Linked DNA regions of Macaca fascicularis. The protein of the gene in region 1 interacts with the protein of each later gene in a biochemical or structural test. Links are inferred from orthologs where the notes say so. Each region holds a gene or a part of one and is shown in the gene's direction. Other genes may lie near its edges.

Region 1 (4,214 bases):
TCAGTTGCTAGCCTCTTTTTCTCTCTTTTTGAAGCTTTCAAGGGTAGAAATCAAAATAGTCTCCCTACCTCCAATACATTTGTAGAAACAGGGACTATTTCTAGAAGACTCCAGAAGGGACAGTGACTGGGAAATTGAAGGCATGAGGGAGACTTTTCACTGTACACTTTAAAAAGACACATTTAAAAAATCTCACCATGTTCGTATTTGTTAAAACATTTTAAAAATATACTGAAGAAATGACACATAAGGATCACAAAATAGGTTGTGGTAAAAATTTAAAAACCTGGCTGGTGATTCTTTTCTCCCCACTTCTTTTATCAAAATAGAATTGCCCTGTAGAATTACATTTCATATTTGACACCCTACCCTGCCCTGAAATAGGGCTGGGATTCTATTCCTGTCTTTTAAAACCTTCGGTTTAAATGGGTCCGATTATTGAATGGATCCTGATTACAATAATCGTACCCATTGAAACCAGAGAAATTTCTAGGCCTCCCTGTTGAAACCAAGTAGGACCTTTCCATACCCGGCCCTCAGAATGTACACGAAGGTGAAAGAACAGTCTAGAAGGATGTCGTTCCCTCAGCCTTGGGTTCCAGCTAAAAAAAAAAAACTGTGTGGGGTTTCCCCCTCACTTTTCCAAATTTAACCTGGACACCAGCTCCTCTGCAGTGTCTCCCCTCGAAAGTTCTCGAGCGTTCCCCAGCTTTAGGGCCGCGCCCGGCCTGAGATCTGCTGAGTCATTGTCCTTGTCCCGCGGCCCGCAGCGGGGGAGGGGCGCGGCACCGGGGAGCCCCCGCGACCGGGCTGGGAAGCTCAGGAAGACTGAGGGGGGCTGAGCAAAGAAAGCCCCGTCATTATCTCAAATGTGACCCAAAAATAAAGACCCGTCCGTCTCGCGGGGTGGGCCAGGGCGGGTCGCGAGGGAGGGGAGGGAGACCCCGACTCTGCGGGAGGCGCTCCGTCCGCGCCCCACGTCCGCCGAACGCGGGGTTCGCGACCCGAGGGGACCGCGGGGGCTGAGGGGAGGGGCCGCGGCTGAGGAACGCGGGCTGCCCACCCGCTCCTGGCGCCGCAGAGTCCGCACCGGGTTTTGGCGCCTCCCGCGGACGCCCCCTCCTCTCGGCGAGCGCCTCCACGTCATGGCCGCAGGGCGCAGCGAGCGCCCTGATTCTTCCGCTTGGGCGCTCAGGACGGCGGCCCGCTGCCCACCAGACTCAGTCCCAGAACCCCAGTCTCAGCAGGAGGACATTTTGGGACGGGACTTGGGTGACTGTAGGGCACTGGTTTTCTTTCCAGAGACCGGAACGGGCGAGCAAAAGTAGTCCCTTCTCGGCGATTCTGCGGAGGAATTTCCTTGGGGCGGTGAACGCCGATGACTATATAAGGACGCGCCGGGTGTGGCGCAGCTAGTTCCGTCGCAGCCGGGAGTGGGATCGCAGTTCTTGTTTGTGTGTCGGTGTCATCGCCACTTGGTGAGCAGAGGGCTGCTGGGCCGGCCATGGCTTTCGTGGCCGCTGGGCCGCTCGGTGGGATGGAGGGGGGCCGACGCCGCGGGATGAGAGGCCGCCGAGGGCTGTAGTCTGGGTCCGCGAGCAAGGTGCCCCGAGCAGCGGGTGGGAGGGGAGCGCAGCAAAATGGCGGCTGTTCCCGGCTCTTGAATGGAAGACGGTTGTGAGGCGGGCTGTGAGGTTGTTGAAACAAGGTGGGGGGCATGGTTTGCGGCAAGAACCCAAGGCCTTGAGGTTTTCGCTAATGCGGGAACGCTCTTATTCTGGTGAGGTGGGCTGGGGCACCATTTGGGGACCTTGATGTGAAGTCTGTCACTGACCGGAGAACTCGCTTTGTCGTCTGTTGCGGGGGCGGCAGTTAATGGCGGTGCCACTTGGCAGTGCACCCGTAGCTTGAGGAGCGCGCGCCCTCGCAGTGTCGTGACGTCATCCGTTCTGTTGGCTCATAATGTGGGGTGGGGCCACCTGCCGGTAGGTGTGCAGTAGGCTTTTCTTCGTCGCAGGACGCAGGGTTGGGGCCTAGGGTAGGCCCTCCTGAGTCGACAGGGGCCTGACCTCTGGTGAGGGGAGGGATAAGTGAGGCGTCAGTTTCTTTGGTCAGTTCTATGTTCCTATTTTCTTAAGTAGCTGAAGTCTGAGTTTTAAACTATGCGTTCGGGGTTGGCGAGTGTATTTTGTGAAGTTTCTTAGGTATCTTTTAAATTGTAATCATTTGGGTGAATATAACATATAGTTTAAGTATTAGGAAGATTAGTACATTGTCTGCTAAATGCTGGTGGTTTTTGGCTCTTTTGTTAGACAATGCAGATCTTCGTGAAGACCCTGACTGGCAAGACCATCACCCTTGAGGTTGAGCCCAGTGACACCATTGAGAATGTCAAGGCAAAGATCCAAGATAAGGAAGGCATTCCTCCCGACCAGCAGAGGCTGATCTTTGCCGGAAAGCAGCTGGAAGATGGGCGCACCCTGTCTGACTACAACATCCAGAAAGAGTCCACCCTGCACCTCGTGCTCCGCCTCAGAGGTGGGATGCAGATCTTCGTGAAGACCCTGACTGGCAAGACCATCACCCTCGAGGTCGAGCCCAGTGACACCATCGAGAACGTCAAAGCAAAGATCCAAGACAAGGAAGGCATCCCTCCTGACCAGCAGAGGTTGATCTTTGCCGGGAAACAGCTGGAAGATGGACGCACCCTGTCTGACTACAACATCCAGAAAGAGTCTACCCTGCACCTGGTGCTCCGCCTCAGAGGTGGGATGCAGATCTTCGTGAAGACCCTCACTGGCAAGACCATCACCCTCGAGGTGGAGCCCAGTGACACCATCGAGAATGTCAAGGCAAAGATCCAGGACAAGGAAGGCATCCCTCCTGACCAGCAGAGGTTGATCTTTGCTGGGAAACAGCTGGAAGATGGGCGCACCCTGTCTGACTACAACATCCAGAAAGAGTCCACCCTGCACCTGGTGCTCCGTCTCAGAGGTGGGATGCAGATCTTCGTGAAGACCCTGACTGGCAAGACCATCACCCTTGAGGTGGAGCCCAGTGACACTATTGAAAATGTCAAGGCAAAGATCCAGGACAAGGAGGGCATCCCTCCTGACCAGCAGAGGTTGATCTTTGCTGGAAAGCAGCTGGAAGATGGGCGCACCCTGTCTGACTACAACATCCAGAAAGAGTCCACCCTGCACCTCGTGCTCCGTCTCAGAGGTGGGATGCAGATATTCGTGAAGACCCTGACTGGCAAGACCATCACCCTCGAGGTGGAGCCCAGCGACACCATTGAGAATGTCAAGGCAAAGATCCAGGATAAGGAAGGCATCCCTCCTGACCAGCAGAGGTTGATCTTTGCTGGGAAACAGCTGGAAGATGGGCGCACCCTGTCTGACTACAACATCCAGAAAGAGTCCACCCTGCACCTGGTGCTCCGCCTCAGAGGTGGGATGCAGATCTTCGTGAAGACCCTCACTGGCAAGACCATCACCCTTGAGGTGGAGCCCAGCGACACCATTGAGAATGTCAAGGCAAAGATCCAGGACAAGGAAGGCATCCCTCCTGACCAGCAGAGGTTGATCTTTGCTGGGAAACAGCTGGAAGATGGGCGCACCCTGTCTGACTACAACATCCAGAAAGAGTCCACCCTGCACCTGGTGCTCCGCCTCAGAGGTGGGATGCAGATCTTCGTGAAGACCCTCACTGGCAAGACCATCACCCTTGAGGTGGAGCCCAGCGACACCATTGAGAATGTCAAGGCAAAGATCCAGGACAAGGAAGGCATCCCTCCTGACCAGCAGAGGTTGATCTTTGCTGGGAAACAGCTGGAAGATGGACGCACCCTGTCTGACTACAACATCCAGAAAGAGTCCACTCTGCACTTGGTCCTGCGCTTGAGGGGGGGTGTCTAAGTTTCCCCTTTTAAGGTTTCAACAAATTTCATTGCACTTTTCTTTCAATAAAGTTGTTGCATTCCCAACTGGTGTGGTTTTTTAAAAGTTAAGGTTATTTTGCATTAGACTGGGTGAAGGGGATCAAGGTTTTCAGTTTACAAATGTTGCTGTGGTAACAGTGAAATGTCAGTGAAGGGGTTGACCTTAATATAGTACGAACTGTAGAAGGTGGGTGCAAATAAAAGCCGGCTTCAAGACCAGATTGGCCAATGTGGTGAAACCCTATGTCTACTGCAAATACAAAAAGGCAGGTGT
Region 2 (4,171 bases), on another chromosome or scaffold:
TGCTTACGCTTGAAAACACTTTCTCCAGTCAAAGTGTTGTCATGTAAAATGTATTGTTTATATTACTAGCTTTATATATTGGACTATTATTATTATTATTACTATTTTGAGACAGAGTTTTTGTCACCTAGGCTGGAGTACGGTGGCGCGATCTCGGCTCACTGCAACTTCTCCCTCCCGGGTTCAAGCGATTCTCCTGCCTCAGCCTCCCGGGTAGCTGGGACTACAGGGGACTGCCACCACGCCCGGCTAATTTTTTTTATAGAGACAGGGTTTGGGGTTTCACCATGGTAGCCAGGATGGTCTCGATCTCCTGACCTCGTGATCCGCCCGCCTCAGCCTCCCAAAGTGCTGGGATTACAGGCGTGAGCCACCGCGCCCGGCCTATATTGGACTATTATTAAAACATGTTACACTGAACCTAGTCATGTAGATCCTGAAACTTAAATAACAAGTCGGATTTCATGATTGCAGTCCTAGTTAATCACGGGAAGGAGATGGAAGAAAACGTTAGTTCGCCATATAGTCTTAGATAAAAACAGGTGGGGCGTGGTGGCTTATGCCTGTAATCCCAGCACTTTGGGAGGCCAAGGCAGGCGGATCACGAGGTCAGGAGATCGAGATCATCCTGGCTAACACGGTGAAACCCCGTCACTACTAAAAATACAAAACAATTAGCCAGGCGCGGTGGCAGGCGCCTGTAGTCCCAGCTACTCGGGAGGCTGAGGCAGGGGAATCGCTTGAACCCGGAAGGCGAAGGTTGCAGTGAGCCGAGATCACACCACTGCACTCCAGCCTGGTTGACAGAGTGAGACTCCATCTCAAAAAAAAAAAAAAAAAAAACCAACCAAACGAACAAAAACATTCAGGAGATTTGCAAATGCCAACTGAACTCTTGGCACTTTCCGTTTATTTTAGGTTTCAGTTCTTCAGTCTACAAAGGACTCTTCTAAAAGGATATGTGTTGCTAATACCCATCTTTACTGGCATCCTAAAGGTAGGTTTTATTTGGTATCACAAGTGACTTAAACGCGCTTAAGGTTGTTTAAAGCTGTTTTACACAAATATATATCTTGAATGTCACCCAGAAATTGTAATTTGTGTAGTTTTTCCGTTTTAACTTAAAGACAACTTTAAAAAATACTTACATTAATGTTTTTTATATTCATAGGTGGGTATATTCGCCTCATTCAAATGGCAGTAGCCTTGGCTCACATTAGACATGTTTCATGTGATCTGTATCCTGGCATACCAGTTATATTTTGTGGGGACTTTAATAGTACACCATCAACAGGAATGTATCATTTTGTCATCAATGGCAGCATTCCAGAGGATCATGAAGACTGGGCTTCCAATGGGGAGGAGGAAAGATGCAACATGTCTCTTACGCATTTCTTCAAGCTGAAAAGTGCTTGTGGTGAACCTGCTTACACAAATTATGTTGGTGGCTTTCATGGATGTCTAGATTACATTTTCATTGACTTAAATGCTTTAGAGGTTGAACAGGTGATTCCATTACCTAGTCATGAAGAAGTTACCACCCACCAGGCCTTACCTAGTGTTTCCCATCCCTCTGATCACATAGCACTTGTATGTGATTTAAAATGGAAATAGATGTGTGTTTAATGGAATTGAAGTCTGAAAAGGAAGTAGTTATTTTAGCAGAAAATTTAATATGAATCAAAGCTTATATGTAACCTTCAAAGAGGAATGGTAAAATGTTCAACCCTCCTAGTTATGTTCCCGATGTCTTCATTAATGAAACTGTTGATAATGTTTGCATCATACAGCTTCTCTTTCCTCGTTTTCCTCTACACTTGGAGGAGAAACAAATATATTTATTACTAGCAAGATAGAAAATTATATTATTTTTCTCCAATTTAAGACTCTCAGAAAAAGAAGATTGAATTATCGTGGTTTTTTGTTTGGTTTTGTTTTTTGTTTTTTTTTTTTGAGACAGAGTTTTGCTCTTGTTGTCCAGATTGGAGTGCAATGGCGTGATCTCGGCTCACTGCAACCTCCGCCCCCTGGGTTCAAGCGATTCTCCTGCCTCAGCCGCCCAAGTAGCTGGGATTACAGGCATGCGCCAACACATCTGGCTAATTTTTGTATTTTTAGTAGAGATGGGGTTTCGCCACGTTGGCCAGGCTGGTCTCGAACTCCTGACCTCAGGTGATCCACCCGTCCCGGCCTCCCAAAGTGTTGGGATTACAGGCGTGAGCCACCGAGCCTGGCCCTTGTGTATATTTTTATAAGAGAATTTTTTTAGCTAGTAGTTCAGAATTTTTAAAGTACCATTTGAATGATCTTAATTTTTCTTTCATGACAACACATTCCAAAATGAATCATGCTTATGTACTAAGAGGGAAAATGTATGTAAGTTAAGGGTGAGAGACTTAAGTTACAGGTGACCTTAGAGACCTAAGGTGGAGAGACTTGACACATGGAAGGAGTAACATTAGGGTCTACCTCTACCTCAATTTAGTTAGTGATTTACTACAATTTCAGAGCTTTAACAAAAGATAAAAATAAATCGTCACCAATTGTTATTGCTTCTCATCTTTCATTTCTCAATGAACAAGTAAGGTATTTTCATTCTTATTTTTAGGATTTTAGTTTTTAGTGTATGGAACAAATGAACACAGTTTATATTCTAATTCTTACTGCAGCTCATTTTAATTTTTAGGATGCAAGCACAATTTAGTATTCAAAGTCAGTAGCAACATATCCAACTTGATCCTATTGTCTTTAGTTACTCTTGCCCATGAAAAATATTCATAAATGAACAGGGTATTTGACCATATGATATTAGAAAATACAGCACAATATATTCATTTATGAGAAACTACCTAATGATATGGGCTTGAAATTTTGGGTGAATCATTGAGCATTTCTACGCTAGAAGTAATTTCAAAATTGTTGGTTTTTATAAACAAGAAAAAGGGTGAGTAGTGGGACTTTTAAGCATCTCTGAAATAAAAAACCTATTCTTTTTATAGACAAGCATTATAGTTTGAGTTACAGACAACAGTGTGTATATATGTAATATATATATAGTAAAAGGAAATTTAAATATGAAGCCAAACTTTTTAAAATTAGAAACTACAAATGGTTATACTGATTAGTGTCTAGCCTAGAGTGGTAACCAGGCTTTACTAATCCAATTATCAAACACATTATTTATAATGCATTAGCTGTATTAGCTGTTGCTTTTTTGATGTTCAGGATAACTATGTTATCTCATTTCTGCATTTAATTAATAGCTCGAGTATTAAAAGACCACCCCTTCAAGAAAAGCTTTGATTTTCCCCAGTCATGAAAGCCCTTGTTTCAAATTCTTTAATCTCTGAACCCAGTATCATAAAATTTTCCTCTTTTGGTAATATCTGTACTTTCATATTCTGCTCACTATCAAATGTATTGTTAACTCTTAGTAAGTTTGAAAATGACGGGGTTTTATCTGCACTTGACATTGAACCTTGAAGTACTTTAAGTACTCCAAGGGAAAAATTAAAGTGGAAGTTTCTTGGGATCTTGTTTAGAAAAAACTATAAATAAAAAATTGATGCTACCAAATTGTGCCTTCCTAAATAACATTTTTGATAGCATTTTAACAGCAGTTTACAAATATGTAAATAATAGATTAAAACCAAAACTTGATTCTCTTGTGAATTTTTTTTTCATTTTAAAAATACATTTTTGGTCTGCTTTCAAACAAAGATGTTGATAGAACCCTTAGAGTGACTTGGGAGAAAACAAAGTGTGACATCAAAAAGTTGAGATACATTTTGAAAGAAAAAATTCAAACATGCCCATGAAAAAAGCATACAGGTTCCACATTAGCACTGGCTAAACTGTAGTCAGAAAACTCAGCACTTAACAGACATTCCATGTCCTATATCCTTAATTTTGATATTTTCTGACTAAACAATATACTCAGATTGTATACAGGCATTTCAGATTATTAGGACATGGAATGTTATTGTGAAGTGCCATACACTCTGATCAAATCTCCAATATACAGATAGGTTAAAATGATTGGAGTCCAAAGGTAGAGAACACTAAGAAAATGTATAAATAGCATACACATTTCTTTGTACTCACGAGTTAGAAGGCAGTGTTATTCAGAAATATGTTTAAAGCACCTGTGTGATTGCATTTTTCTATTACA

The links.
Region 2: the proteins of UBC (region 1) and PDE12 form a complex in vitro, tested with the Homo sapiens proteins (4 studies listed by BioGRID). The link is inferred for Macaca fascicularis from reciprocal best matches to the Homo sapiens genes UBC and PDE12.

What each region holds. Positions count from the first base shown.
Region 1 is NC_088385.1:132,077,541-132,081,754, reverse strand, and holds UBC (polyubiquitin-C), read left to right. Parts: upstream 1-1,414; 5' UTR 1,415-1,478; intron 1,479-2,312; 5' UTR 2,313-2,315; coding exon 2,316-3,917; 3' UTR 3,918-3,985; downstream 3,986-4,214.
Region 2 is NC_088376.1:120,636,376-120,640,546, forward strand, and holds the end of PDE12 (2',5'-phosphodiesterase 12), read left to right. Parts: intron 1-918; coding exon 919-997; intron 998-1,171; coding exon 1,172-1,614; 3' UTR 1,615-3,658; downstream 3,659-4,171. UniProt on the Homo sapiens protein: Enzyme that cleaves 2',5'-phosphodiester bond linking adenosines of the 5'-triphosphorylated oligoadenylates, triphosphorylated oligoadenylates referred as 2-5A modulates the 2-5A system. Degrades triphosphorylated 2-5A to produce AMP and ATP.